Linked DNA regions of Oreochromis niloticus. The protein of the gene in region 1 interacts with the protein of each later gene in a pairwise test. Links are inferred from orthologs where the notes say so. Each region holds a gene or a part of one and is shown in the gene's direction. Other genes may lie near its edges.

Region 1 (10,543 bases):
CAACTGGTTTTGCAGACATTTCAGAAATGGGGTTTATAAATGAAAAATGGATGGAAAACGAACTCAGGCTGCCTGGTTTTTGTTCCAGTGCAGAAAAATGTTTCCACACATCCTTAGCTATACATTCTGAAGGCAGTATTACCTGACAGGTTATGGAAATTTTGCATGATTGGCCATACTGTTTTGACTCATCTAGGAGACCCATGAATGAAACCTTTAGGGGTTTAACTTACAAAAGAAATTTCTAGGAATATTTCTCTGTGAACTAAGTGTTATTAAAGCATAATTAAGTGGTGTGTGAGCCAAAGACAAACAGGATCAGAGCCAGCGCTGAATGTCAGAGTTCGCTGTTCAACCCAGACGACGACTTTGTTTATCCCAGGGTTCAGACGAGTCCAGTATTAAATGATTTTTCTGGGCAATAAGCTTGCTACTGCCTTAACTGTAATAGAAAACAATTTCTGTGGGGCTGCTACATGCTAAAGGCAGCTAAAATGTGTTTTAGGTAATGCAGTTTTAAAGAAATTAAGGACCCTAGGATGATCAAATGAATACAGACTAGCTGGTAGAAATCAATATATGTAAATGTATTATATGTATCATGACAAGACTTGCAGTGCAAAGTCTAATGTATCAAATTTATTTTACAGCAAGAAAAGAATAGTATGTTATATATAAATATATACTGTATATATGTCCTTCCCTGTCTCAAAAACAAATAAATAGTTTTTAAATATGTTGTCTAATTGTTATCAGTGTATTTATATGCGTGGGAGGACGAGCCTGTCCAAACCCAGTGAGTCCTGTAAATGAAGGGACACAGGAGACTGAGCTCATTGTTGGCAATAAGAAGCTACTTGATTGATGCACTCGTTTTTCTTTTCTCTCCCTCCCTCGCTCTGTTTCTTCCTCTCTTTTGGCTCTTTCACTCCTCTCATGAGGGAAAACAGGAGGCAGACACAGGAAGAGGAGATTTCTACAGGCCGTGTCCGCCTGTGAGATGGATAAACAGACTGTATCGAACAAAGGGTCTTTTTTTTTCGTGAACTGGTGTCATATAGACATTCCCTTACTTTTGACAGGCTTTGTTTTTATTGTCTTTTCACTCTTTTTTTTTTTCTTTGAGAATGGCGTTATAGTGTAGAGTGAGATTTTAGGGTAAATGACAGCTTTCTTTTCTTTTGTTTCAACAGTAATCACTTTACCACAAATGTGCTGCATAGATTATCCATAAAGAAACCATTATCATTGGTTTTAATTGGTTCAAAACTTGTCAAAACTTTTTGTCAAAACACATCCTGTAGTATTCTCATCCTATCAAAATACTTTGCTAAACTAATGACATCTCTGTCTGCTATATAACTTAGAAACTAGTATTTGCAACATGTTAAACATGGAGAATGAGGCCTCTAAATATCTGAAGGTTAGGATTATTACTGTGAGCTGATGATGTTAACACTTATCTGACAAAATCTCTAGCGTGCCCTCTCTTTCTTGGTTTTAATGAGGCTATAAATTCTGACATGTTAATGATTTTCTGACCTGAGTATAATCAAGTGAAGCTTGGGTTGTTATCTGAGTGCCATCCTCATTATGTGATGTGTAGGGTAAGCAGAGCTATCTGTGTGTATTTGGGCCCCCAGCATTCCTGCTGACAGGCAGACTGGAGCTTGGGCTCTAAACCCCGTCTCTCTGACGTCTTCTTTGTGGCTACGCTCTGTTTGGACCTAGTGGTGCTGAGTCATATTGCTGTTCGGTCTGTCCCAGTTAAGCCCCCCTGATTTTCATTAAAACCCTTTTCCCACAAGGCCTTGCAGCTTCAGTAGAACCCAAGCATTCAGCTGTGTTGTTTTTAACTGTCAAGTCTCCATCGGCACCAGCCGACAGTCAGTACCAGCAGTGGAAGAGTGCTCAGATCCTTTGTTTATTGCACAAGAACAGGTGTTTTCATTTATTTTCCCCAATTAGTCCTCAATTTTTTTTTGTTGGGCGAGACTGTTATGGAAGTAATCGAAGTATGAAAACCTTCCCGCCGTTGAAGGTGAATGAAGCAAATAGGAGATTCAGACAGACAGGCACGCGCCACACACTCCTTAGATGGGATCTAATTAAGCAGATAAATTAAAGGAGCTCAGTGCCCCTGTATTATATGTGACCAGTAGCGAAAATTGGAAGTAGGTTTAAGAATTTTATATGCTTTTAATATTGAACTTATAACAGGATGTTTTTATATATAGGAAAAAACAATTTTTGTATAATGGCAGAAAATGAAATCTACTTATTTTCCCTCCACAAGTCTCAGTTAATCAGCCAAGAGCACTGCACACCAGGTAAATGTAAAGATATGGTAGGCTCATACTAATCTCATGTACAATGATTTCTCTCAAGAAAGAAAAGGAGTAAAATGAAAACTATACTACACCATGAGGATCAGTTTACAGACAGGAAATACACCTAGTTTTAGGCATAAATAAAACCTGCATTCAATTATGTTGTTGTTTTTTAATATTCCTAACAATATCAGTGTCCTAGATATGTTGGCTCAACTATGCAGGAATTATGCAAAGTCACTAAAAAGTATAATTTGTCCAGACCAAACAAGTACAGCAGGGGTGTGAGGGACACAATCAAGCACTCTCCCCACCTGCGTAGTCGTTGGAGGATGCAAGTCTCATGTTCACAAGAATTGATGCAGATAGGTTAAATTCATCTTGTTTAATTTGTTGCAGGACATCATTTTGTGGGTGTAACACCTTTTTTTTTTTAAACCCAAAGCAGCTAGTTTTGATTAAGGCCTACCCCTTAATTTACACCCTGTCTGTCCTTGATGTAGTGATGAAGGTGGGGCTGAGACAGTCGTATTTCCAGCTTGTTGGTCAGGATTCAGTTTGGTATGTGGCCATGTACATTCAGACATCAGCCAGGTTGAAGAATGGTAGCTGAGAGGTTCACACTGGGGTTTCTGGATGCAAAATGCCAGAGCAGTCAAACTTAGCTGGCTGCGATTTTATCTTGGCCTGAGATCATTTCAGTTTTAAGATTCTGCCCCACACCCCTTCTTCTTGTAATTCCTGCAGATAAGATGGTCTTCTTGTGCTGGATCTATGAATCAGCTGTTTGACTTGCAGCAGGGAGCAAAGAGAAGGAGAGGTCTGCAGCACCACTTTTACTCTCTTTCTGCCTGGATGTTTAATCATCAGGACATATTACCTCAGTGACCAGAACTCAGGCAACGGTGGTGATTGCCGGAAAAATTCAGAGGGGCGAAACAATTACTGTCACCTTAATGATGCAAGCATGCTATTACTCCTTAGAGATGGAGCCTTTTTAATCAACAAATCTCTGCCAGACTTACAGTGTGCCATCTTGTTTAACCTGCTTTAAGAGAGACCAATTAGAATTCAAGACAGTGTGCTGTTGTTTTTCTTCTTTACTAGCAACAACACTCAGAGGCCAAATAGTAAAGTCCTAGGGCCTTTATTCACTGTCTCCCACTGAATAAAGGCACTATGATTGGTCTACAGTCCCTGTGATTTTATGGCCTAGTAACAAAGAAATCCTTTATGAACCACTGCTGTTGTGGTTTTTACTACCTTCAGCAGTTAAATGTGCTACTGCCAGTTTGATCTTCCTAACACCAAACAAAAACAGAATTGATATTTTTGCTGGAATTTAACCAATTACTGGTACTTTTTTTTTTTTTTTTACCATGTTGCAACTGTTTTTTGGGGGGAATTTGCAGAGCCAGAATGTAGAACTAAACAAAAGGCAAGCCTTTATAGAGGTTGATCAAGGTTCCAAATGTGATACAAAAAGTCCAAAGAACTAGGAAATGCCAGGAAACATGAGGACACAAGAGCAGGACACACACTGAGGATTACACAAATGACACCAGAACAAAGAACAGAAGGAAGAGTGAGGTTTCTATAAACCCAGAAGGCTGATTAGGGATAAAGCACAGGTGGCAGAATCAAACAAAGGTGAAGAACAAAAACTTGCATGACCAAACATGGATACAAAAGACTTATGTGAAATATATAAAATATAAATTAAAGATAGTGAGAAGGGAACACCTGAGGACAAAGACATGAACACAGAAAGAGGAGATAGAGAAAAGAAAGAAACTTGCTACACAGTTACCGTTGCTTTTCTCATTAAAATTACTTAGGGTTATTTACTGTATCTTGTCAGCAACACAAAACCAATATTACTCATAGTTTTTTTTCCAGCAGTATTTTCCCAAACTTTTAGTACTTTTGTGTCTTTTTGAGCTCTGTTTTCAATAACATTATTGTCATGCCAAAATACTCTGTTCTTGACATGAGGGATATATTCTTGCAGAAGGAAATGGGCACTTGGTCAAAATCTCACTTCCATAAATCACATCTTCTTCAAAAAGATCAGCTGAGGTGGTCTGAGGTAGCCAGCTCTGTGGTTGTCAAGGTAATGGATGATAATGGTTTTGCAATGCAGACTCTGTTAGTCCTCATAGAGTTCAGATTAAAAGGCTTTACTCACCAACTCCCTTCCTCCCCACATCTCACCACCTGACCCCACTCATCTCTGCCATCCATCTGTCTTTGGAACCAGCAAGACATCTAATAACCAGACACAGTGAACATCTCCAAGGGAAGTGTTTTTCTTCTTTCTATTGAAAGTGTGCATGTACTGCAGTATATCTATCTATCTGTCTATCTGTCTATCTATCTATCTATCTATCTATTTATTTATTTAATTAAAAGCTCCAAAGCACTTGAAAATGCTTTGAGATGAAGTGTTATAGATTAATATTTAATGGCATATATAATGAAAACCCTGGGTCATAAATAATCAGGTGCCATCTTATCTTAATAGTACCATAAGGTACTATTAAGGTACTATAAGGTGAGATACCTTATCTTACCTTATAGTACCGTATCACACTATTACAGCACTTCGCTCTCGCACTGCAGACTTACTTGTTGTTCCTAGAGTATTTAAAAGTAGAATGGGAGACAGAGCCTTCAGTTTTCAGGCCCCTCTTCTGTGGAACCAGCTTCCAGTTTGGATTCAGGAGACAGACACTATCTCTACTTTTAAGATTAGGCTTAAAACTTTCCTTTTTGCTAAAGCATGTAGTTAGGGCTGGACCAGGTGACCCTGAATCCTCCCTTAGTTATGCTGCAATAGGTGTAGGCTGCCGGGGATTCCCATGATGCATTGAGTATTTCTTCTTCAGTCACCTTTCTCACTCACTATGTATTAATAGTAGTGCTGTCAGCGTTAATCTCGTTAAAATGACCGCATTAACACGTTAGCGAGTTAGCGCGGATCGCCCCGTGCGTGGGGCTGCATGGCGCTAATGCATTAACAAGCTAACCGCCGTAACGCGTTGACGCCATGCTGGCCCACGCACGGGGCGATCCGTGCTAACTCGCTAATGGAGATTTGCCACAGCATGTCTTTTATCCCGTCTTCCTTCTTTCTTCCCAACCGGTCGCAGCAGATGGCCCCGCCCCTCCCTGAGCCTGGTTCTGCCAGAGGTTTTCTTCCTGTTAAAAGGGAGTTTTTCCTTCCCGCTGTCACCAAAATACTTGTTCATAGGGGGTCATATGATTGTTGGGATTGTTATTGTAGGGTCTATCTTACAATAGAAAGCACCTTGAGGCAGCTGTTGTTGTGATTTGGTGCTATATAAATAAAATTGAATTGAAACTGAATTGAATATACTTTGTTGAAAATGTATTTTCTCCAGTCTGGGTAATATGAACTTTTTCATCATACTTTAATTTTCATTACTGAATAAGCACATTTTATAATAAATATTCCCATTAAGGATGAGTTAACGAATAATGTTATGCCCTTTGTTATATAACTGCTGCCCTAAACTGTGATCCAAAGAGGAGTGACAACAGCTCTTAGATTCTCTCCACACAACTGACCCTGTGAAATCATTTGACCCTAGTCTCAAATGATTTCACAGGCTTTTGTTGTGCACACTTCCAATACACTCAGCAATGTTTTTAATATACTAATCTTTCTTTGTATCTGTACCTGCTCCACCTGCCGATCTGAAGTTATTTTCTGATTAGAGAGCGAAGATCTCTCCCCAGCACCCTTTTGTTTGATCAAACTGTGTTTCTGTTTTTGTGAGAGCGCATGTGTGGTCAGCTTGAATTGGTGGCCAGACCCTGTCACACAAATTCCTTTTCATTCAGCTCAAACAGAAAGAAAGAGAGGAAGACAAAAAAGGGTGAAAGTAAGAGTGAGAGAGAGAGTGAGTTAGAGGCTGGGGAGAAGGGAGGAGAAAGGGGGAGAGGGAGAAAGCCAAGAGACATTTGTAGTTGAGTGGACGAGCACAGACAATCCCTGGCGCACAGCTTTTTGAGTGTCATGTAAACCACCCCTTCGCTCTCCCTTTTTGTCCCATTCACTGCCTGCCACCCTCCCTTCTCTCTGCCCCACCCTGTGGTCTCTCTGCTTTGGTCTTGGGGGGGTTGGTTGCCTGGCTGTATAAAAGCCCTGTTTGTGCCCAGAGCGAGCTCCATTCCCCAACATGGAGAGTCAGAGAGTCCAGTCCTCATACAGGAAGCGTTTTGGGCCCCAGAGCTCGAGCAGCTCTGGAGTCAGAATTGGTGGCCTTTCTTCTAGCCGCCTCTCCTGGCATGGCACCCCTCGCAATGTCACCCACTCCAGTCCCGTGTCGCGGATCTCCCTGGGCTCAAGCAGCACAGCCCTGCTGCTGGGGAGCCCTGTTGATCGGCTGGACTTCTCAGCTGACTCTCTGTTGAAGGCCCAGTACAAGGAAACACGAACTAACGAGAAGATGGAGATGATGGGCCTGAATGATCGCTTTGCCAGTTACATAGAGAAGGTGCGCCTGCTGGAGCAGCAGAATAAGGTGCTGGTGGCAGAGCTGAACCAGCTGAAGGGGAAGGAGCCAAGCCGACTGGGAGACATCTACCAGGAGGAGCTCAGGGAGCTACGACGACAAGTCGATGGTCTCACCAACAACAAGGCTCGAATGGAGATCGAGAGGGATAACCTGGCTGCAGATGTGGCTGCACTTAAGCAGAAGTAAGAGGTAGCAGGGCAGGACTTCTGTGGGTGGAGGATCATGTAGGTGTGATGCATGATCCCACAGTAGTACCACCCATTTGTATCTCTTTTAGAGATTGCATATGTATGTATAAGAATAATGAAAGAAATGCAAAGGGTTATTTTTTAGAGTTATGTACTGAATTTCAATTTCATATTTCATTTTTCAGTTAGTGTACAGATGTTTTGGACCCTTGTTTATGTTAAACCTTACCATGTTCTTGATTAAAGCATAGTAGAACCTGAAACACACTCTGAAAAACATATTTGGACTGTGAAAGAAATGCCCACAAAGTGTGTTTTCTAGACAAATGCTTTTGGTTAGCTGGTCTTTGATAGGAAAACACATTCAGCTGGAGTAGATTTTATGTATTTTGGCACAAAATAAGACAAACTCTTTCCAGTGGAAAGTTTTTTTTTCTTAGTTTTCTTTTATAATTGCCAGTTCATTTATATGCAGATTTCAGACCCGCTGGAATGCAGCCCACTGTGCTCTGCCCCAGCTTTACTCCTGGATCCCTCTTTACAAACTTGAACCCCTTGTCCCCATTGAGTGAGTGCGAAGGAATGAGGGAAACACAATGGTAGCCCAACACAAAGGGAACGGCCAGCCGGGCAGATGTTCACTAGTCCCCTGTTACTCCAAAATACTGATTCACTGCCATTGCATATGCATCTTTTTTAAAACTTTAGATGCATATGTGGCATGAATCTATACTTTAATCTTGTGAATGAGTGACTTGAAGCCTCTAAAGGTTCGAAAGGTCTCTCTCACACTATATCCTCCGATTACCACGCAGCTGCTGGTCCTCTAAAAGAATGCAGCATGAATAGTGATGATTCTGGTCAGAGGTCACTTTTGTGATTCATGCTGCTCTTCTTGAAGCCCTCTTTTCAGCAATCGCTCCATGAAGCCATACAGATGCTTAGAGTTCCATGTCACTGTGTGCATGGCAGATGGATTGTAGGGTGGTGCCTATCTGTGCACGAGGCTGTGCGTACGTGCGTCCTTTTTATGTCTGTGTGTGTGTGCTCCATCCCGTGGGAAAGGCCTCTGGCTGCTAGATTGGAGTGAATGTGTAATGATGCGTAAGCTGCCCTTTCAGCTGAGCCCCGCACATCCCCAGCAGCATGGGGAGCAGCAGTAAAGCTGATATCACGAATCTAATCGATGTGCGTGTGCGTGTTTTTAGTCCTTGCAGACGATACTCTGTTAGACATAAATGAGAAACTGTAAAAAAAAATGTAAAAATCCTTTCATGCTTGTTTCCTTTTTGCTGAGATGTGAAGGAGTTGACAAAAAAGGCTCATGCACAACAAGTTAACTCAAAATAAATGGTGTGTTTATGATTTTTGTCTATAAAAGTATTTTGCACAACAAAAACTGGAAAGACTGGATGTTCTGTTAACCTAAAAAAACCAAATTTGAGTAATTTTTTTAATTTGGTTATTTTTCTCCTTTGTGTGACTTAGACTGCAAGATGAAATTGGGCTCCGACAGGATGCAGAAAATAATCTAAATGGCTTCAGACAGGTAATTCTGTTCCCTGAAATCATCAACTAAATAATTTAGACATTCGGTATGACTGACTATCCAACTTCATCCCTCTGTGTGCTTCATTTTTTTTCATAGGATGTGGATGAGGCGTCTTTAAATCGTGTCCAGCTGGAGAGGAAGATTGATGCCCTGCAGGATGAGATAAACTTCTTGAAGAAAATTCATGAGGAGGTAAGAAAACAACTGAAGGAATAGAAGTCACGGAAATATTAAGGCACCAATAATTGCCACTAACCACAATCAAATTTGGATTTCCTCCTTGCAGGAACTGCGTGAGTTACAGGAGCAGATCATGGCCCAGCAGGTCCATGTTGATCTGGATGTGTCTAAACCAGACCTGACTGCTGCTCTCAGAGACATCAGGGTCCAATATGAAAACATGGCAAGTTCAAATATGCAGGAGACTGAGGAATGGTATCGATCCAAGGTGAGAAGAATTAGCTGTCGGACATAAAACACTTATTGTATAAAGTGAAAATGTGTGAAAATTTAAAAGAAATGCACAAAGATAAAGATAATGTTTCACAGCTAATAAGCTAATACACACACCACATACAAACGAGCTGTTTCATCTTTGTACACAGTTTGCTGACCTGACAGATGCAGCCAATAGAAACGCAGAAGCCCTCCGCCAGGCCAAGCAGGAAGCCAACGAATATCGTCGTCAGATCCAAGTGGTCACCTGTGACCTGGAGGCTCTTCGTGGCACAGTGAGTACACCAGATCACGCAGATTACACAGACATTTTGAATTCACAAATTACACTGCTGTCAGATGGACTTATGGCAAACACACACTTTTTTAAAATAGTTTGTTAGAACTGTAATTTAACAACAAGTGTGGAGCTGAAGCACAACTCAGAAACTCGTGCATAGTCTGGTCTTGAATTGAGATTGTGTGATAGGCCTAACCAATCAAGAACAATCAGTTTCTCCTCTTTGTCTTCTACCTGAACTCAAAGTAGCCTATTAAATCTTTTGTTTTGTTAATCCTGCATCTGTATTCTTGACTTTAAACTCTATAAATTGGAACTTTTTGAGTACTACCAGTCTTAGTGGTATGAAAAAAGCAGCTCATATAGACCAGAAACAGCAGTGGTAGATGCTGTAGAAGGAGTAAATGCAAAAGTTGTATTAGCAGGATTAGCAACAGAGACAGATCGTAATACTAGTGTAAAATTTTGCATTAGCAACTTATCTAGGAACAACATTAAACAAAATCTTACTTATCTACATTAAATCCTGGTGAACAGAATTTTCTCTTTCACTCCATTTATTATGTGGTCTTCTCTCTTTTATTTAAGAATGAGTCACTGGAACGCCAGCTCCGGGAAATGGAGGAGCGCTGTGCCATGGAAACAGCCGGATACCAGGATACTGTGAGCCGACTGGAGGAGGAAATCCAGGCACTGAAAGAGGAGATGGCAAGGCACCTGCAGGAGTACCAGGATCTCCTCAATGTCAAACTGGCTCTGGATATTGAGATTGCCACATACAGGAAGCTCCTGGAGGGAGAGGAGAGCAGGTGAGTTAGAGCTTGTCTGGTCAGATTTAACACAAGCAATAAATCAAAGTATGTGATACTGATTTTTTTGGTCACTTTTCTTCCAGGATCACGATTCCAGTTCAAAGCTTTTCCAACATGCAGTTTAGAGGTCAGTTTAAATTTTGAACCATGGTATTTTGTTCCCTTGACTGATTAAATTGTTTTTGCTGTAGAACACCAGCAGTTAAACTGGACAGTATTTATTGGTTGAAAAGAGATTAATCCCGTACCTGTACTCTAAACCAAATGTGAACAGAGGATAGTGTTTCAGCAGGTTTGGTCAGAGCTAATATCCTCTCTCTCTCCCCGTGTTTTTCCCTTAGAAACTAACTTGGACACTAAAACTCCTGAGGCCCATGTGAA
Region 2 (9,666 bases), on another chromosome or scaffold:
AATTAAACAGCAGTTTCAAATCCTACAAAAATTGAATATCTAATGTTGACACGGAGAAACTATTCGGGCATGTTTCAGAAAACTTGGGATCAGGCTGCATCATTTTCTTTTGTGTTAACAACACCGAGGAGACCAATAGCTTTAGTCCTGGTAGCTAAATGTTGATTTAATTGGCTGCTCTCTTATCACAGAGCCATAACGTTATAATATGTGTAGAATGTGGGTTGGCATTGTCTTGCTGAAACACGCATAAATCTGACCTGAAAACCACATTGTTGCATTGTTATGCTGCATGACAGCATATGCTACTCTAAAACCTCTAAGTCCTCTCTGCACGCAGCAATAACGGTGCCTTTTACGCACGTCATGTCCACTAATGGATCCCCATACCATTACAGATGCTGGCATTTTAGCTGTGCATTGATGTGCATTGGTCCCTCTCCTCTTTAGCTCAGAGGAAAATGGTTTTTAGAAACAATCTCAGATTTTTAATTAGTCAGACTACAAAAGAGTTTTCCACAGAATTTGCCTCAGTCCATCTCGAATGAGCTCGGGCCCAGAGAACCGTGAGGCATTCATCTTTTAACTTGTAGTTGCAGATACCCGAGTGTTACTGAGCCCATTCACTGAGTTTTATTTTAACCAGCTTTTAATGCAGTTCAAGCAACTCAAGATTGTTTTTGTTTAACCCTTTTCCATACATTTATTTAGATTCTCTGAATTTTAATGATATTATGTGCAGCAGATACCTCATTCCTCAAGTCCTTAGCAGTTTTAGACTGAGAATCATTACACTGAAGCTGTTGTGAACCCGTCTCTCTTCTTCTGAAAGAGTCAGCCTCTCTGGAATGCTCTTTTATCCCCAATCATGTTACTCATTAAACTAATCAGCTGTGAGATCTTCCTCTCCAGTTTCTTTTTTCTTATCTAGTCTTCCACAACTTTTCCAGGGTTTTGTTGCTCTCATCAGAACTTTTAAAATCAAAGTGAGAATATATTTTAAGAAAACGTAAACTTTTCACGTCTTTGTACAGCTAGTAGTTAAACACACATTTTTATTGTTTGGCAAATCATTGCATTGAAATGATATTTCCCTAAATCAGGCTTCTGGTGTAAGCAAACTGATACTTTTAAAAATAAGGACCTCTTGGATTTAATGGACTGTCAAACAATTTTAATGGACAACATGAAAAATGTATTATTCATTGTTTGTGTTTTTGGAGCCTTACTTTAATCACCAGCTAAAAATCAGGGCAATGTTGGGCTCAGCTGCCCCAATTTAGATTTTTTATTTACTGCATTGAAGTTTCCCAAATTTGATGGAAACACGCGACAACATTCAAGTTAAGATAGAGAAAATTTTGAAAAATGAATCTGTTTTTTAATTAGCTGTTTTCTAATTAGCTGGATTTGCAGATAGAAATGAACAATATTTAATGACATTTTATTGCTGTCTCAGACGCTGGTCCGTTTTGGGTTCTCATTCAGATAATCTGGTAATATTAGGAAAAATCAACAACGTTTTGCTGCCCATTTTGCAGCCTGATTAAAAGATTATCTCTTTTAATCCACTTTTAGTCAAACTTTTGCTGAGGCCATCGTCCTCCCAAAGCCCAGTGGGGCTTGGGGATACAAAGGAGACATCCTTCTGCAATGTGACGGAGGATATTTCCGCATCGGACTCGCGGAAAGGTCTGTGTTTACTCCCTCGTGGTAGCGTTTCTTTCACTGTTTTATGAATTATAATGCAGCACGTTAATGCGTGGCTGCTTAGCTTATTGTATATACTTCATTATATCAGGTCATGGGTCACCTCTGAAGTGTTTCTTAATTGAATAGTAACAAAAATTAAAATTCAGCAGCTGCTACTTGTTGTCTTCTCTTCACTCCTGAGAGATGCCCATTGACCGACATGAAAACATCACACATAATGATCTGTTTCTACTGACTACATTAGCATAGATACTTGTGTTTTTCCTAATCATTTCCCACTCATAGAAGAGGCTTGATCATTAACGTTGACTGAGAGCTTGTCTCTGGAGGGATTTTCAATCAATCAGGTTCAGTGTTTTACAGAATCAGTCCTGAGAACTCCCTCCTGGAGATCCAGCTGGGGAAGCTGCCCACCTGGCTTCCAGTATGCTATGAGAGGTGGAACTCTTCGCTGGGAACACTGGTCTGCAGACAGCTGGGTTATCTGAGGTGATGCTTTTTCGCAGTCCTGCGAGGATCACACACTGCTTCTTTATAGCACCATTTAAAAAAGCTGAGAGCCCATTCTCAAACTTGGTTTAATTTTAGGCTGAAGGCTCACCTTATTTATGATCTATTAATACCTCATTTATAATCTTGCTTCACACCTCATGAGACTAAATTATCTCAATACTCGCTCCCACCCATTTTTCAAATGTTCCCTTACCAGACTGACCAAGCATAAAGGAGTGAACCTTACTGATATCGGGCCAAACTACACTGACGGCTTCATACAAATTACCTCAGAACAAAAGAGCAGCCTGGAAAATATGTGGCAGTTCAGGTAAGGCAATCTGTCAGAGGACATCACACTCATAATGGTGCAGGGAAAATTGCGTCCGCTAATACATTAATTATGCATCATTAGTTACCCAATTTATTTTCATTTAGGAGGAGTTGTATCACAGGGAAGGTTATCGCTTTGCAGTGTTTTGGTGAGCAAATTAAACTTAACTTTTAATTTGAGTTTGCGCCTCGCACAGAGGCCAGTAGTGTTTTTGTACAAAAGCTTTATATCAGAGCAGGATGAATGATGGCGTCTGCTGCTGCTCTTTCTGACCAACCCAATTTCGTTTCGTTTTGATGAATGGATCTTTAGAGTGTGGCACACGAGCAAAGCTACCCAGGATAATCGGGGGCGTGGAGGCCGCGCTGGGCAGGTGGCCCTGGCAGGTCAGCCTTTACTACAGCAACCGTCACACCTGCGGAGGCTCCATCATCACCAGTCAATGGGTAGTCACAGCTGCCCACTGTGTACACAAGTAAGACTGCTGACCTGACAAGTACTAAAGGTCAGAGGTTGCAGCCACGATGAAGGATAATAATCAGTCATTAACAGCTGTACCAGTGTAGCAGTATCAGTATCTACTCTCTCTTTTCTTTTCCCAAATGTCAGCTACAGGCTACCTCAGATATCCAGCTGGGTGGTCTATGCTGGCATTGTGACCCGCAGCTCTGCTAAAACGGCTCAGCATGCAGGCTACGCGGTGGAGAAGATCATCTACAACAAGAACTACAACCACAGGACCCACGACAGCGATATAGCACTGATGAAGCTGCGGACCCCGTTCAATTTCTCAGGTCAGTCTCATCGCAGCACTTAAAAAAAAAAAAAAAAAAAAAGTACTTTGGCTTCAGTTTACCTTTTCATATGCTAATAACAATTTATCATAAACAATATAAGTGCTATTGCTATGCTAATTTTTCTAATCATAACAAGTGATATACACTTCAAATGAAAAGGCTCCCAATATCTTTAACATCTCACAGAATCAGCTGTTAAGATTCACACATAAGCTTACAGTCTCAGCAACAATTAAAGCACCGCCTCCAGATGTTTTGAGACGTTGAAATTTATTCTCCTTCCTGGCTCCTGAGGGATCTTTGGGTCTGTCTTTGTAATTTTGTTTCTTCTTTACCTCACAACATAAGGAGCCTTGAAATGACTATTGTTTTGAATTCACATAAATAAAAATGAACCGAATTACAGATGTAGCTTCCAAAGGACAGAATACATGAATATGCAAATACTGTACAGTGTAAAAAAAACAAAACACAAAAAACCAGGCCATCATATAGAATCCAATGAGAGAGACACAGGGCTATTTTTGTACACAATGCATTTTATGTAGATTCGGTTATATTTAAGTTATTCTGTGAGTTTGTATGGCTGCTACCTTTTTGTTTGCTCTGATCTCAGTGGGAGACAACTTTCTTTATGTTGTATACAGGACCACAGTTGGCTTCTCTATCATAAAAGCTTCCTTGTTTTTCAGCTGTGATTTGATATGAGCGTAGAGACTAAAGAGAAAACAGCTTTCTCATGACAAACACTGAAGTCTAAACGTGGTAAAACACGTCTCAGTGAAGGGTGGTTTTATAACACTTCTTAACATGACTTATGAATCCAACCATATTTGCAGTACAACTTAATGTCTCTTGTAACTATTTAAATGTATTAAGAGGCAAAATTCCTCCTTTTAACTAGACACAATCAGGCCCATCTGCCTGCCTCAGTACGACTATGCCCTTCCAGGAGGAACACAGTGCTGGATTTCTGGATGGGGATACACGCAACCCGACGGGGGTAAGATGTTACTACACTGCTCTGCTCTTAAACAAATGCATCTCTGCTACAAATCTAATCCATACTCAAATGGTGACAGAGTGAGCCAAGTGTGTTAGTGGAGCAGTCCTAAATTGAAACTTTCACCCGTAGTTCATTCACCCGACACCCTGAAAGAGGCGCCAGTCCCAATAATAAGCACAAAGAAATGTAACAGCTCCTGCATGTACAATGGAGAGATCACAGCACGGATGCTATGTGCCGGCTACACAGAGGGAAAAGTGGACGCATGTCAGGTCAGAGGCTTGTTTTGACCACTAGATTTAGCTTCTCTTTTATGAGTAGCTGTAGTGAGCAGTGTTTGGGCCTACCTCTCCAGGGGGACAGTGGGGGCCCTCTGGTTTGCCAGGATGACAACGTATGGAGGCTGGTGGGGGTCGTCAGCTGGGGAACAGGGTGTGCTGAGCCCAATCATCCTGGAGTTTACACCAAAGTGGCCAAATTCTTGGGATGGATCTACGAGATGATAGAGGTAAACAGCATTTTTTAATTCTACAGTGAACAATAACTAACTATTTACAGGACAGCACAGAGGTTTAGTATCATTCGATACTTCTTTATTGAGCTCGATAGTTAAAAAATACACGCAAAACACATGATCAGCTTAATTATAATTTCATTATATATATATATTTTTAAAAAGTTAGCTCCACTTTTGCCAGTTTTAAAACATTATGTTGAGAGAAATGCATCAAAGTAAGCCTGTGAAATAGGTCATTTGTTTTTGTAGAAGTACCCTGCTGATAACAACTCTTTGAACGGAGGATATTTACATATCATGGAATACTTTTTTACAGGGATAATACTTTTACTTATCTAAAATATTACAATAAATTCTTATATCACTACACTGCAGAAAGCGCTAATTAGTTTCATCCATGCCGCTATTTGAATTTTTTCTTTTTTTGTATTTTCAGCCGGATTGAGATGGAAACTGTAAAACAGAACAGCGATTTCTAATATTAATTCTTTCCTTATTTTTGCAGAATTACTGAGGAGGGCTCATGACAACAAAAGGAAGGAAGCTTCTGATGAAACTGGTGGAAACGTTAGAAAACTACAGTTATACATGATACTTTTTATTTTACGTGTCAGTTATATAATGTACACATAAAGACAGACTGAAAACATCAACATGCATTTTTACGTTATGTTTTTCATGTATTGAAAATAAATTATGCTTCTTATTGTCATGTGTGGTTTCTGAGCCGCAGTTCCGCATCTCACCGCCTGGTGGCAACAGTGTTACGTTTCATATAGTTTCTATGGCAACTGACAACATTGGCCTAGCTAGTGTTAGCGATTACAACTAATGAGCTACAGAACGTAATTAGTTGTTTTGTTTTGTTTTGGTTTGGTTTTTTTAAATATTTGTGTGATACTGCTCCATATTTGTCGGATATTTAAGGTGTTTCTATAACACATGCTCCTCTATGACACTGCTGACCGGCTGGTTTTCTGACGCACAAACTTTTTCTGCTAACTAGCTAGAGTTGGTAATAAAAGTACGACAGTTACCTTAACATGTGCTCCACTGGCAGTACAGAGGATGTTTTGCAGCAGATGAGCAAACTGTGGTCCATGCTGGATGATCTCTCTGAAAATGACCCTGCAGCCTACCGTACGCTTATAGAGAAACAGTTGAAGGAAGGAGCTGAATTCAGAGCACCGCCCGAGCTGGACTCCTGCCTCTGCACTGAAATACTGGTGAGTTTCATTCGTGAAGGCTCCTTCCTGTGTAGGCCCCACTCCATACAGGTGTTACTCAGCACATTCTTTGGTTCAGCTAGAAAGGAAGCCCACCTTTATTCCTCCAAAACATAAATAAATATATACTCTAAATTCAAACACAAATTAGGGAAAGTTAACTTTAATAGCAGAAAATTTAGGATACAGCTCAGTACCCATCATCAAAAAAATTTTTTTTTTTTTAAATGATTCAGTGTCTCAGGTCCTGTCATTGGTACAAGGAATTACATTACAGAAGAATTTGGATTGGGAACAGCACTTACTCTGCAAAAGGCTCACCCAAGTAATGCAGGCATCTGATGGTGGAGGAGAGGGACTGCCAGGAATCGACTCAATGTGCAACAGCAGTCCTCTAACCTTAACAAGGCTGCTGAATGATGTGGGAAGGCATAAAACGAAGAAAAATCAAATGTAGTGAGCTATGGAATATGAAAACAAAACAGCCCACATATGATGTTCTGCTCACTCCAGCAGTGTGTCCCTTGTATGCAACCCTCAAACACATCCGGGTGGGCTGCAAAAGCAGTCTAACACATGGAGGATATAGTTGGTGACATAACCAACTAACTTGTCTGTAGCTATTAGTCAGGAGAGTATAGACTAACTGCAACTCATTAGAAGTTAAAGCCACCTTTCTGCAACAAACAACCTTCATCTGGGAAGGTGAGAAACAGCATGTCAAGCCCTATCTTCCTGAAATATACCTTTACACTTGAAATCAACCTGCACCCAGGTCTGGTTCTCTGGTCCAGTTCCTGCCAGTCTGTCTTCACTGTAGAACTGATTGTCCCTTGGGAGGATGCAATCAATAAGGCATATGACAAGAAGAAAGCATGAGCAAGCTGAGAGAGAGGACCAAGGCTGGAAAGTGGAGGTCCATTCAGTGGAAGTGGGCTGTAGGGGCTTCGCAGCCAGCTCCACAGTAAGACTGACGAAGGAAGTAGGCATCAGGAAGGGCAGCCTAATACAAGTTAATCAAAAAGCTTGCCACTGTTGCCAAAAGAAAGTAGTCACAGGGGCTGGCTGAAGCAGAAGGAGACAGTGTGGCCTGCCAAATTACTGGTGGGTGCCATGTGAAATACACCCAGGTCTGATCAGCCTGTGGTGGGTCTGCTTTGGCTAAGGGCATCTTGTGAGAAATTATGGAAATGCACTATGAAGCTGGGGTACAAAGCTGATGATGTGTCGCGCTGATGGATACATACCCATATGGTCAGCAGCAAACACCCCATCTAGATGGCTTCTCCAACCCACTCAGTTCTGTGTTATACTGACAGGGATTATAACTTCTAGCCCTATTAATTAGTATAGTCCATTACAAGCTGTGAAAGCTTTGTCATCACATTTCTTGTTTTTATCCAACCAAGAGTAAAGTAATAACCTAAAAATATTTCTGCTGAGGAGCTGTAAGCTGTGCTTGCTTTATATATCCTAAAATACACAGGCTGCATGAGAAACACAGACTTTTACTTCACTCTGCAAAGATGCTAGACTTTTATCCACTTAGAACTTTGAAATTGAGTTTGTTTTGACAGATCCTTTTGATAGCACTGTGTTTCTGTGACAGAAACCAAAGAAAGGCCTGCTGTACATCAACATATGCAGCTGGAAATGTGTGCCTGCGCCTCAGGATCCCAGCAGGCTTTTACCAGTGTACACTGGAAAACTGGAAACAGGCACAAATGAAGATCAAGGTGTGTCAAGCTGCAGACCTGCCATTTGTATTACATGACACAAGCAAGAAAGTCATACTTTTTCCTTTACAGGCTGGTATACTGTGCTGGATGTGGCATTAAATCCTGTGTTGCTGCAGGAAAGTAGGGAGAACAAAGCAGAGATTAACCAGGTCTATATGCTGGCCCTGAGCTTTGCCCAGAAGCAGCTTGGGATGACGTTATCGCAGGAGTACAGAGTTGTCAACAGTAGCCCAAATAGTAGCCCAGATGAGTTGCACCGCCGGCTTGGATTTCAGAAGTTGTCCAGTGCCCCCAAACAACCCGACACAGGTAATGCAATAAGTCTGTCAACCCTGACAAGCTTTGATAAGCACTTTATGTTGAACCCGTGCTCTTTACCCACTCTCCTTTCACCTCCTAAAACAATTTTCCTGATAATCCATAGTCCTTTTTTTTTTTTTTTTTTTTTTTTTTTTACAGCTGGTCAGACACCAGCTGCCCTCCTGCAGCACATCTCCTCCCTACAATCAGAAAACCAAGAGGACTCTGCTCCTCAAATTATCTGTAGGCCTGCAGAGAAAATAAAGAAGGATTTGATCCAGGTCATCTCAGCCGCTTCTGTGGGGCCTCAGAAGCCAGAGTATCGACTCGAGGTGAAGACTGATGCAGCAGGAGTTCCTGACAGCGTGGAACTGATGGTGGAGCTGCCAATGGTTTGCTCCATGTCAGAGTGCCAGCTGAGCGTGTCCAAGGTTAGTGGTTACACACTCCCTTGAACAGTTATAACGAAGCACTTTAGAATCCAGTGTGTGTCAGTGTGTAGCTGGATGTCATAAGAAATACATAATCGACCTGTAGCGAGCCTTAGTAGCACACTGGATGTATTTTTCTCTGCAGGATGACGTCTTACTGGAGGTGGAGGATCTTTACTATTTGCTTGTGGACTTCCCGAAAACTGTAAACGAAGACACCGCGTCTGCCATCTTTAATAAGAAGAAAAGAAGACTTACATTGAAAGTGAATGTGCTGTGACCATCATCCTTAATTAAGAAGCAAATGTGCAGTGTTTGTTAAGCTAGCTAAACACTGGCATTGAAAATGCCTCAAACAAAAACAACAAAACTCCTGTTGTGCAATGTACAAATAAAAAAAAGAAAAGAAAAAAGCACTGAGAGCGCATTGTGCTGTGGAGGGACCCGTATTCTGCCTCAGAATTCAAGTTAACTAACAATAAACAGCTTGCGTGTAAATTGATCCATTTCCAAGAGCAACATGTTTGTGAAACAAATATGTAACAGTGTCCCTTTGTGCTGTGTGGGCTGAGGCTCAGCAGCAAATTTAATTCTAACCCCCCTCCTCAAAATTAATTGACTTTAATGACAATCTGTGGATTTTGTTTATTAATGTGTGGGCGCGTGAGTGGAGGTGTATAATGGCTACGAGCTGGTGTCATTACCGTATGCAGGGGGGAATAATTGACAACAAAACGATCCATGCAATAATTTATGTTTATTAAAACATCAAAATTGATGCAGAACAACAACATCACTGTTTGGCAATCTGGAACACGTGGAAAATGTCAGTAAACACTTCTTTCTTTTTTTTGGAGGTTTGCATACTATGCACTGATTACAGCTTTTTAAAGCACAGCGTAGCTTGTTATTTCATGTAAAGCTAACGTTATTTTATTATTCAAGTATGACTTTACTGACCATTACGTGGTAGTCCCACAAACTTATTTATGAGCTGCAAACAATGTGCGACATGCGGTCCATAAACGAAAAAAAATTGTATCCAAATGTTTAGATTCTTCATATGAAACATTCACTTTTAAAACATGGTTTTGTACCTTAATGGTGTTAG
Region 3 (9,948 bases), on another chromosome or scaffold:
ACTTTGTCACAGTTTACTGTAGAAGAGGTGGAAGGTATTGAATACACATAATTCAGTTTATTGTTAAAGGTAAGTGCTCTAGAGTAACATTCAACGGGATGGCTCTAGCATTGCACCAACAATTATATCCATACAGTAAAAGCGTGGAGTGATGTGATTCACATTTCTGTGAAGTGCTGAAGGATGGTAATGGATATCCATACATCTTTCCACCAGCAGGTCTGCACATCAGTCAATATACATTACTGTTGTTGGTGGTAATGCGCTATAAAAGGTAGCAGTGTGCCAAAAAAAGGAGGAAAATTATATTGGGGGGAGGGAGACTAATGCAAGCTCAAAGCAGTGACGAAAAGGGTTTTCAACCAGATGTGCTTGATAGATGTTGGATGCATAGGTTATGTTATAGTGAAGATGTAGTAAGGTGGAAATGAGACCTTGTATTTTCTTCTTCTTTTTTTTTTAAAGGGATACACACCTTTGTGGATGTTACCTGGCAAGATATTTGGATCTCATACATGTGTGGAAGTTTTAATATCACCTTGCAAGTGTGACTCAGGATTTCTTTCTGCATTTATGCAAATTCAATAAATATATCTAGAGATTTTTTTAGAAGATGAACTTGCCAGAGGCAGTTTGGTTCTGTGCATACAAATTAATGTAATTTGGGGACTCTAAAGTAATTATTTCCTTTCAGCATGACATACACAAGGTAACTCTCAGTGTGTATGCACATAGTAATAAAATAAAAACAAAATTATACATAGATAATAAGTCAAATAAAATAATACATTGTTAAGTAAAAATCTGAACATGTCAGGACATCATTTGCATAAAGCGCTGCTATAAAAGTTCCTGTGTTATATTGCGCAGTCTCATCATTGGCAGTCCACAGCACTCATATTTGTTTTGACCGTCTACTCAGTGCAGAAATAATTTCTGTTCAAAGACATGGAGAGGAACTGCAAATTAAACTCTACTTTGTGGCCTCGTCAGAGGCCTTGAGAAAGAGAGGACACTACCAGAACCGAATTCTGAGTAGCAGTAACAATAAAACATTTAAAAAGATATTGACAACAAAATCTTGCTGCAGGCACCAGTTTGGTAATGAATAAAACTTTTCTTTTGCAGGCCTTGGTTGTCACCTTTGTGCCATTGTATAACTGCTTTTTACATCCAGAGTTACGACCAGGTTAACAACAAACATTAAAACTTAACTGCGACCAATCCTATCTTGAATTTTTTTACACCACGAAGATCTTTACTAAAAAAATAAATGACCCCCTTTAGTCCACTTTGTTAGAAGACTAGTGAAGTCAACATTTTATCCTTACCATTTTAAGTAATGACATGGAAAAGAGGTACAGAGGGGAATTTCTAACCAGTGGTGACACTAAGGTGGAATTTGTGAAGCTGTTTTTTGGAAAGTGAGACCAATTAACCCCTGGGTCTCAGACTCTTAAAGAATCAATGAATGCTAGTGAGAGCAAACTTCCTGGACACATTATTTTATACAAGTATCTATGCTGACAGAATGGATAGCTAGTCCAGTGTTGTTCTGTCCCTTCATTAAGGTACTGTGCAACAGTCTTGGCCCATAATTTCTTAATATTTTGCTTCCAGTGAGCCGGATGTATTAAAAAGATTTTATAGTGGCTTGATCAACAGTTGTCCAAGTTTTTCTTTGGACATTGGCTGCTTTCCATTTCTTTCATTGAATCTATGAAAAAAAATGTTTGATAGGATAAAATACTATTTTTGCACCAACAAGGTAATTCCCATAGAGGTATTACCTAAAAACTTGGTATATTTCAGTATGGTGTGCAGTGTGTCCTTAAAAAATTTGAGGAAATTGGACACTGGGCTAAAAAACTATCTGCAGCAGATAACAATATTTGAAAGTCATGTGTCTATGAAACAGAAAACCATCAAAGCGAAGACCTAACAAAGGACTTGAGACCTTCAGTTGATCCACATACTGTTCAATGAAGCCTCACCAAAAATTATCTCAGTGGCTGTCAAGAAGGAATTATTGAGGAAAAAGCTGAGGTATGCCAAATTACATAACAAATGAACTGTAAACAGCTCGAATAAGGGTTAATGGAGTGATGACTCCAAATTTTAAATTCTTGATTTTTAATCACCATCAGTATTTACAGAAGAGGTCAGGAGAGAGGAACAAAGGCGAGTGACTGCAGTAAAAACACATTAGAGGCCCATAGTGTTGGGGATGTTGTCAAAATTGACGGATTTACGAACACAGAAAAATACCTTTAGATTTTGATTGACCATGAAATACCATTTGAATAACAACAGCCACATTTTTCAGTATGACAGTGATCCCAAACACACTAACATTGCAGTATAAGCGTACCTAGATAGAAAAGCCCTGTCTGTTTAGCATTATATACTGTATTTTCTTTTGTGATTCATTAAATCACTAGATCTAGTTTACATTTTCCTAGAAAAAAAAGGAAGTGTTGCTCAAGACATTTGTGCAGCACTGCATGTCTCAAGAGACACCATATCATCACAATAAAACCATTAGAATTAGATTTGAACATTATGACCTTGAGGGTGGAGTTTATGACACATTTGTTGAATGAGACTGGATTGAATGTGCCATAATGCAAACACTGCAGCTTTGAGGTGTGTAAATGTAAGAGAAACACCCACATGGGTAATTATCAGGGACGTGTATTGATAAGAACTTAGCAATTCCGATTTCATTGTCCATATTTATATATTCTGCTCCTTATCAGTTCTTTTATTGATTCTCATTGGCTTCTCATTTGCTCCACTTTGAGAGTCATTGCCATCCCTAAGCACCATATCAAAGACATTACATTCATGCAAATTAATTGCATACAAGTGTCTGTGCCTGTTGTAGGTATTTCCCCTATTTGTTGTGATCAGTGTTGGGATCATTACTCATAAAAAGTAATGTATTGCACAAATTACACATAACACAATAATTAAAAGTAATGCAGTACAACTTAATTACTCCCAGGGGAAAGTAATTTTTTACACTATTAAGTAACTTTCATGTTACTCATTAAAATGACCTGAAACTCATTGTTTCATAAATACTACTTAACAAAATATAATCCTGTAGGCTCCAGTCCCAACCTTTCCTAATGAGGACACACGTGGGATCTTTCGCTTTCTTAATATTTAGGTATGAACACAAAGCTGACAGCATAAAGCAAGGATGAAAATCAGCACAAAAAGACTTTAAAGCGATCATCATAGTGATTCTACGTTAGAAACATGAACAGAAAGGTAAGCTTCAGCCTGATTGCTCATCACTGGCTTTGTAACCTGTTGAAGTTCAAGGTCTGGCTGCTGGGATGGGGCCGGCATTCACTCAGCTTTAACATCACTCTGGGTTCTTGGCTAACTTAGCGTTAGCATACTGTTTGCGCAGGTGCTTGCAAAGAGCAGAAGTTGTGTTCTGTCCTGGATGCAGTTTGCACTTAAACACTGGGCTCTCCTCCTTTTGTCCAATAAACTATAAACAAAATGTTCATATCCACACTGTAGAAACTGTAAAAACGAATTTCCTCCTCCAGCACACAAACTGAAATTAGCTGATTAGCACAAGTGCAAATGAAACCAATAAGTGGGCTCGATAGGCGGGCAAACTCAGAAATCAAAGTAACTGAACAACTGGGAACAGGTTCTCCACAAGAACCAGCTCCTGATCCTCATCTCTAATGATTATATTTACATTACATGAACTGGCTTTTTAAGTACTACTGCATGCAAATTTATTGACCTTTTTGCTAGAATAACACAATTTAGGTCATTCTTTGTCAAGTTTTAATAAGTACGCCATCATTTTTTTCATTCAAGTAAAAATTAAATTATGCAATTAAATTGTGCATTTTTGTAGTCATTTCACAATACTGTGTTAGTGATTAAAACTCGAATTTCACAATGCTGTAATAACTGTGTGCTGCAAGGATTGTACATTGTTTTTTTTGCCACCTGCATTTTGTACCTTTGACCGGTAAACAGCTGACTGCCCACCTTGTAATGCCTCTGCAGAAATTTGTGAGCCTAGAAACTGTTAAATAACTCAGCCTTTAGGCTAACCTTTGGCCTGTCAAAGTCCCTGAAGGGGGAAGGAAAAGGGGCGGGAAGGAGGAGGTAGACAGGAGATACATAGATAACAGCTAAACAGTAACAGGTGAGCTCTCCTTCGAGATTCAGACGCCAGGAGAGACAGGCTGGTGAGTATATTATAAACACTCAACTACGCTGTATGTAATTTTGTGTAGTTAGTTAAAATTTTTCAATGTCACATTCAAAACTAGATCTATGCTATCTTATAAATTCATTTTAAGAATAATGGAAAATGTTGTCTTGTCTTGAGGATGAGTGTTTCTTCAGGGTGAGCTGTGTTGCTTGTGTTATAGTAAACTGTTATAAGTCATTATTGAGATTATAGACATAAATTTGTTATTATTTGGATACCGGATCTATAAACAGTGTAATCTTTAAGATGCTAAACTCATATGGTTCGAATATTGCATTCAGTGAAAACATAAATTCTATACACTTAAATTTAGGACAGGTAAAAACATTTCTTTTAAAAGTAAAGGTATAAGGAATACAAACAAAAAAATTATTCTAACCTGCCTGCTTAAATAAAGTCGTTGTTTTTAGCCATTTTTCGTTTATTCAGCCATACAAAAGGCTAAATAAATCAGCCAGTACATGTGCACACACAGAGTGACAAGAACTTTATGACCTTCCTGTATGGGAATAACAATCCAGCAAGAATTGCAGCAGAAGTTCTTATTGTGCATTCAAAGTCCAAGCTGCTTTTTTATGGAGAGTCATCACCACTGTAACCTCTTCTTCTATTAACCATTAACTTCTGTTGCAGACCCAGCATGAAAGGTTAACTGTAAGATTATTGATCTGAAGCAACTCTCCTACTGGTCCTTGAGGTCCAGTAGTAGTTTCTACTCTACTTATATATTTAAAAGACCAGCGGCAGTAACAACGGGGAGGGTGGCGGGGGGCGGGAGGCGTTAAAAAAAAAAGATATGCCTGTAAGTTAAGCATTAGTAGTGACAGGTGTATTTAATGTTATGACTTTACCACTGTGATTGCCATGTGTGTGCTTTTCACCTTTTTTGTTAGGACATGGCTGGGTACAAGCCACGGGTGATTACCCTATCCAAGAAACCAAAACAGACATTCGGCTTCTATCTGAGGGTGGAGAATGGCGAGGAGGGTCACCTGATCCGCTGCTTGGAAATGGGAGGTCCAGCTGAGCTGGCTGGCATGAAAGACGGAGACCGCATCCTCCGGGTCAATGGAACATTTGTCGATGAACGTTCGCATTCTGAAGTGAGCAGGATGTAGAAATACTGCAGTGCATTAATCAAATCAATAACAACTCTTAGACCAGTTCTGCTGTGACAAGCATCTTTTCTTAGAGTCTTCTTCTTTTTTTCCTGGACAGGTGGTGGACCTGGTGAAAAACAGTGGAACCTCTGTCACGTTCCACATTCTAGATGAATCCTCCTACAAGCAAGCAAAAGCCCAGGGAGTAAACCTTTCCAGCCCTGGAAGCAAGCCAGTTGCCAATGGAGTGGAAAAACATCGTCCAAAACCCAAACTCTGCTACCTGGTTAAGTCCAGCTCAAGCTTTGGGTTTTCTATTCGCTCAGTTGAAGGTAAGGAGAGGATGCAGGGACTCCCAATTCTGAGTAAGTGTTAGAATAAAAAAGGCCATAGGAGTACTATTTATAGTGATAAAAGCCATTTGACGCTGGACAGTGGAAGTTTAGATTTGCTAAACTGGAATGGCTTAACTTTGGAAGTACCCATTTATATGACACTTACAGTGGTTCATAAGTTCCAGCTAAAAGCGTATTTATTTGCTAATAGAGCATTTCCTAATGCCTCATATGTATAGTCGCCAATAAGGCTTGAAGATAGTGGCTAAAACCAGAAATAATCATGATAGTGTTGAAGGGAGCTTAAGTATCATTACAGACTTTTGTCCAGCTATCCATTTTATTCCACTTATCCAATTCAGACTGTGCATGAGCCTATCCCTGCTGTCATCAGGCAAGAGGATTCACCCTGGTGCGGACAACAGTCTGTTATATTCCAGTCACAGAAATAGTTAGACAACCGTGCTCATTCATTACAGACTTTTATGTGATTTGCTTTTGGAGTCACCTTCCAGCATGAAGATTTAAAGACCTTTGCAAAGATTTCACTTGTCAGACCCGGACGTTATGTCTAACTTGTTGCAGTGTTTTCTTTGCACTTATCTTTGAAAGGTATTTCAGTAGTAATAGATACAAAAAGATATTATCACAAATTAAAATTAGGATTTTGGTTAAACTTCAAAAGGGATGACTTTTTTCTTTTTAGTCTGTAGAGAACTATCGAGAAAACTGTTCAATTAAGTTTAAAAAATGTCCTTTTTTTTTATCATCATGTCTAGGTGAGCATGGACTTTTCATGACAGAAGTGACCCCAGGAGGCACAGCTGAAAGGGCAGGGGTCAGACTCAATGACCGTCTGGTGGAGATCAACGGGGAAAACGTAGAAAACATCACACACGATGGAGCAGTGGACAAAATTAGACGGGCAGGCAGCCATATCATGTTCCTACTGGTCGACAAAGAAACAGACAAGTTCTATCAGAAGACTCATGCAAAGATTGGCTCGTGGTTAGCCACAACAAAGTACCTCCCTCGAGAACCACGCATCATCAACATAACCAAAGGATCTGATGGATACGGCTTCACCCTTAGAGAGGAGCCCAGTCAAGCAGGCATGGTTATAATGACTATATTTTGTAGATTACACTGTCCAAAGAAGGCTACATTTTAATAATGTGCTCCATGACTCCATGCAGGACACTTCATCAGGGACATAGAGAGAGGCAGTTCAGCAGAAAAAGCGCATCTGAAGGAAAAGGACAGGCTGGTGGCTGTGGATGGCAGAGATGTGGAGAGCTGCAGCCACGAGGAGGTGGTAGACAGGATCAAGCAGAGTGGCAACAAATGTTGCCTCCTAGTAGTGGACAAAGACACAGACCAAGTGTATAAGCTGGTGAGCCAGGGCGCCAACATCTTGTCTGTTAAGTAATCCCTGCAGGTGGTCTAAATTATATCATGTTGTATCATTCACAGGGGAAAGTTTCTCCTCTGCTTTTCATGGAGGAGATGAATGATTCCAACTCACCACCCAGTTACACAGAAGCTGTTAACTTACCCATTCCCACACGATCAAGCACGCCTGCTCCAGAGAGGAAAGAGGAACTCAGGCCTAAACTGTGTAAACTGGAGAAGACCTCAGATGGCTTTGGCTTTCATCTAAATAGCATCCAGGGAGTGTGCGGCCATTACCTCCAAAATGTAAGGCTTCTAAATAATGTCCACAATTTGACCATTGCCACTTTAAGCACAACTGATAAGTGATAAGACACACTGTGTTCCAGGTGGTGAAGGGTGGAGTAGCTGACAAGGTAGGCATGGAGAATGATGACATTGTGGTTGAGGTGAACGGGGTGAATGTAGAGCAAAGCCATCATGATGACGTGGTGAAGATTATCCAAGGCAGTGGGAATTATCTGGAGATGTTGGTGGCTAAAAGGAGCGTCTATGATAAGCTCAAAGCTCAAGGAGTGCCTATCACACGCCAGCTCCTCGGGGAAACATCTTACGCTCAAGTCCACAGTGCAAAAACTCCAGAAGCCAGCAAGAGGGAGAGACTGGAGGAAGAGGAGGAAGCAAGACCTACAACCCCGACTGAACCAGAAAGACAGAGGGTGAGAAGTGGTTTTTAATTGTTTCAAAAACATTATAGCATATGCTGGTGTGTCAAAAACATTCATATTCCCCAGAGAATAAATTATAATGACTCTGATGAGCTTCTGGGTTTCCTTTTAGTGCCACAGTGAGGTTTACAAGGTTTGGTGTAAATAACTCGATGACTGGATGAGAGGAAACTTGTTCAGACATCCATCTTTTCCTCAGAATTCAATTCAGTTTTATTTATAAAGCACTAAACAACAGTCGCCTCGAGGCACTGTAAGGTAAAGACTACAATAATACAGAGAAATGCCCAACAATAAAACAAACCCCTATGAGCAAGCATTTGGCAAAGATGTGAAGAAAAAAACTTCCTTTTAACAGGAAGAAACATCTAGCAGAACCAGGCTCGGGGAATGGCAGCCATCTGCTGCAAGGAAGACAAGACAAAGAATGAACTGTAACATTTATCTGACACTGCTGATGACCAAATGCCTATAAAAATACGTCATTCCCATCATCGTCAGCTGTACTCTGCGGCTGCTGTTTGCATGCTAACACACCAAACTAAGATCAGGAGCATAGTAAACATTAAATCTGCTCATACTACAACCGTTGGTTATAGTATTTTCATTTGCTTGATAAAATACCTCTCATCCCCTTTTCTCAATCATCCCTGAACTAAAAACATACAGGAAAAAAGCTCATTGTCCTTAATAATGTCTGTGTTTTCTCTTATTTAGAACTCATCCGTGTCATCATCTTCGTCTGCAGAAAGCATTGATGAGAGAATGTGAGGAGCAACGTGAAGGACCCCTCTCCTGATTTGGCCTAATTTGATGTTGATCTGTTTCTTTTTCTTCTGTTTATTTTAACCAGTCAGCTTGGCTTCTCACAAAGACTTAATATCAAAAGATTTTTTTTTTAAGTTGACAGAAACAATAGAACAAGGACAGTGAAGACTTCAAACTTACTGTCAAAATCTGATTCATCGCAGAGTAGCTGCTTCAACTGTATGACATGACTGAGAACAAAAGCATCTTTGTGAATATTGAGAAATTTCAGGAACGTTTGCCCAACGTTTTGATGAGTGTGTTTGCCGAGATGAGTAATATCCTTCCTACTATGACTAGCACAGCACCGAGAATGAACACAATATTAATACTGCCAGTAAACACTGCGACCTTTTATGTATTCTTTTTTTCTCCTGCTTTTAATAAATGTTCGAAATGTTTAAAATTTTATTTGCTCTCTGATTTATAAATACATGAAACGTTTTTGAAACATGAATAAACAAACGTGTCATCTAAAAAAAAAAGACCAACTTCATGAATATCTTTTTGTTGGCAGCTAAAAACGGCATATTTGTCAAAACTTACAGCCACTTCAGAATGTGGGTCACAAGTGGCATTTTCATCTTTTCTTAAAAAAAAAAAGATCCAAGGACGGAGGCAGCTTGTGTCATCTGAGAAGATTGTGGCCTCACATGGTTATTAACAGTGGATGTATACCGATAAAAGAAAATGATTTGTGCACACTCTGTGATTAGAGGAATGGGAGACCATAGAGTTTGACCCCAGTGGAGCGAGAGGTTCTGGTAGACGACCATAAAAGCAGCAAAAACAACAAGTGAGGGATCTAAAATTATATGTCATAAAAAATCCTTCTACTGCTGAAATGAAATCATTTAAATGTGCTTTGATACTAAAATATGAGGAAAAAACAAACCCAAGTTAAAGCACAGTATAAAGGTAAAGATATTTAAGTGTCAAATATATGTGTGTGTCCACTCTCCGGTTAATGAGCTTTTCAAATATTCCCTAATATTCTGATCAGGTAAGCTGCACACCAAGGAGCTGAAACAAAAAAAGGAAAAAACAAAAATTCAAATGGGTAAATGCTAACCTACTTTCAAAGCAAATGTGAAAAGGCTAAATTAATAAAATATATATATTCAACCGAGAGAAGATCAGCTGGGTCTGACTTGAACCCAGCTGGAAAAGTCAGCCTGTCCACCAAAATATTTATCAGCTGATTTTCAAGAGTATAGCAGGTGGCCTTCTCTTCTTTGAAACACTGGCACGTTCCATCAGTGATTTTTATTTTTAAAAGTTAACTCACTGGATATTCTTGTTATTGCATATTCAAAAATATTTTCTTC

The links.
Region 2: the proteins of gfap (region 1) and pih1d2 interact in binary tests that used the Homo sapiens proteins (3 or more experiments, as listed by UniProt). The two-hybrid records come from large-scale screens. The link is inferred for Oreochromis niloticus from reciprocal best matches to the Homo sapiens genes GFAP and PIH1D2.
Region 3: the proteins of gfap (region 1) and pdzk1 interact in binary tests that used the Homo sapiens proteins (3 or more experiments, as listed by UniProt). The link is inferred for Oreochromis niloticus from reciprocal best matches to the Homo sapiens genes GFAP and PDZK1.

What each region holds. Positions count from the first base shown.
Region 1 is NC_031969.2:28,881,039-28,891,581, forward strand, and holds the start of gfap (glial fibrillary acidic protein), read left to right. Parts: upstream 1-6,494; 5' UTR 6,495-6,535; coding exon 6,536-7,056; intron 7,057-8,550; coding exon 8,551-8,611; intron 8,612-8,710; coding exon 8,711-8,806; intron 8,807-8,900; coding exon 8,901-9,062; intron 9,063-9,219; coding exon 9,220-9,345; intron 9,346-9,938; coding exon 9,939-10,159; intron 10,160-10,245; coding exon 10,246-10,289; intron 10,290-10,503; coding exon 10,504-10,543.
Region 2 is NC_031979.2:26,670,446-26,680,111, forward strand, and holds pih1d2 (PIH1 domain-containing protein 2), read left to right. Parts: upstream 1-5,637; 5' UTR 5,638-5,902; coding exon 5,903-6,085; intron 6,086-7,694; coding exon 7,695-7,821; intron 7,822-7,893; coding exon 7,894-8,133; intron 8,134-8,283; coding exon 8,284-8,555; intron 8,556-8,700; coding exon 8,701-8,835; 3' UTR 8,836-9,057; downstream 9,058-9,666. Other genes in the region: tmprss5 (transmembrane protease serine 5), read left to right, coding at 1,579-1,692, 2,061-2,202, 2,423-2,536, 2,644-2,687, 2,852-3,014, 3,149-3,333, 4,241-4,339, 4,472-4,614 and 2 more.
Region 3 is NC_031987.2:19,835,562-19,845,509, reverse strand, and holds pdzk1 (Na(+)/H(+) exchange regulatory cofactor NHE-RF3), read left to right. Parts: upstream 1-4,139; 5' UTR 4,140-4,232; intron 4,233-5,151; 5' UTR 5,152-5,154; coding exon 5,155-5,361; intron 5,362-5,476; coding exon 5,477-5,690; intron 5,691-6,472; coding exon 6,473-6,805; intron 6,806-6,889; coding exon 6,890-7,086; intron 7,087-7,166; coding exon 7,167-7,391; intron 7,392-7,474; coding exon 7,475-7,804; intron 7,805-8,530; coding exon 8,531-8,584; 3' UTR 8,585-9,031; downstream 9,032-9,948. UniProt on the Homo sapiens protein: A scaffold protein that connects plasma membrane proteins and regulatory components, regulating their surface expression in epithelial cells apical domains.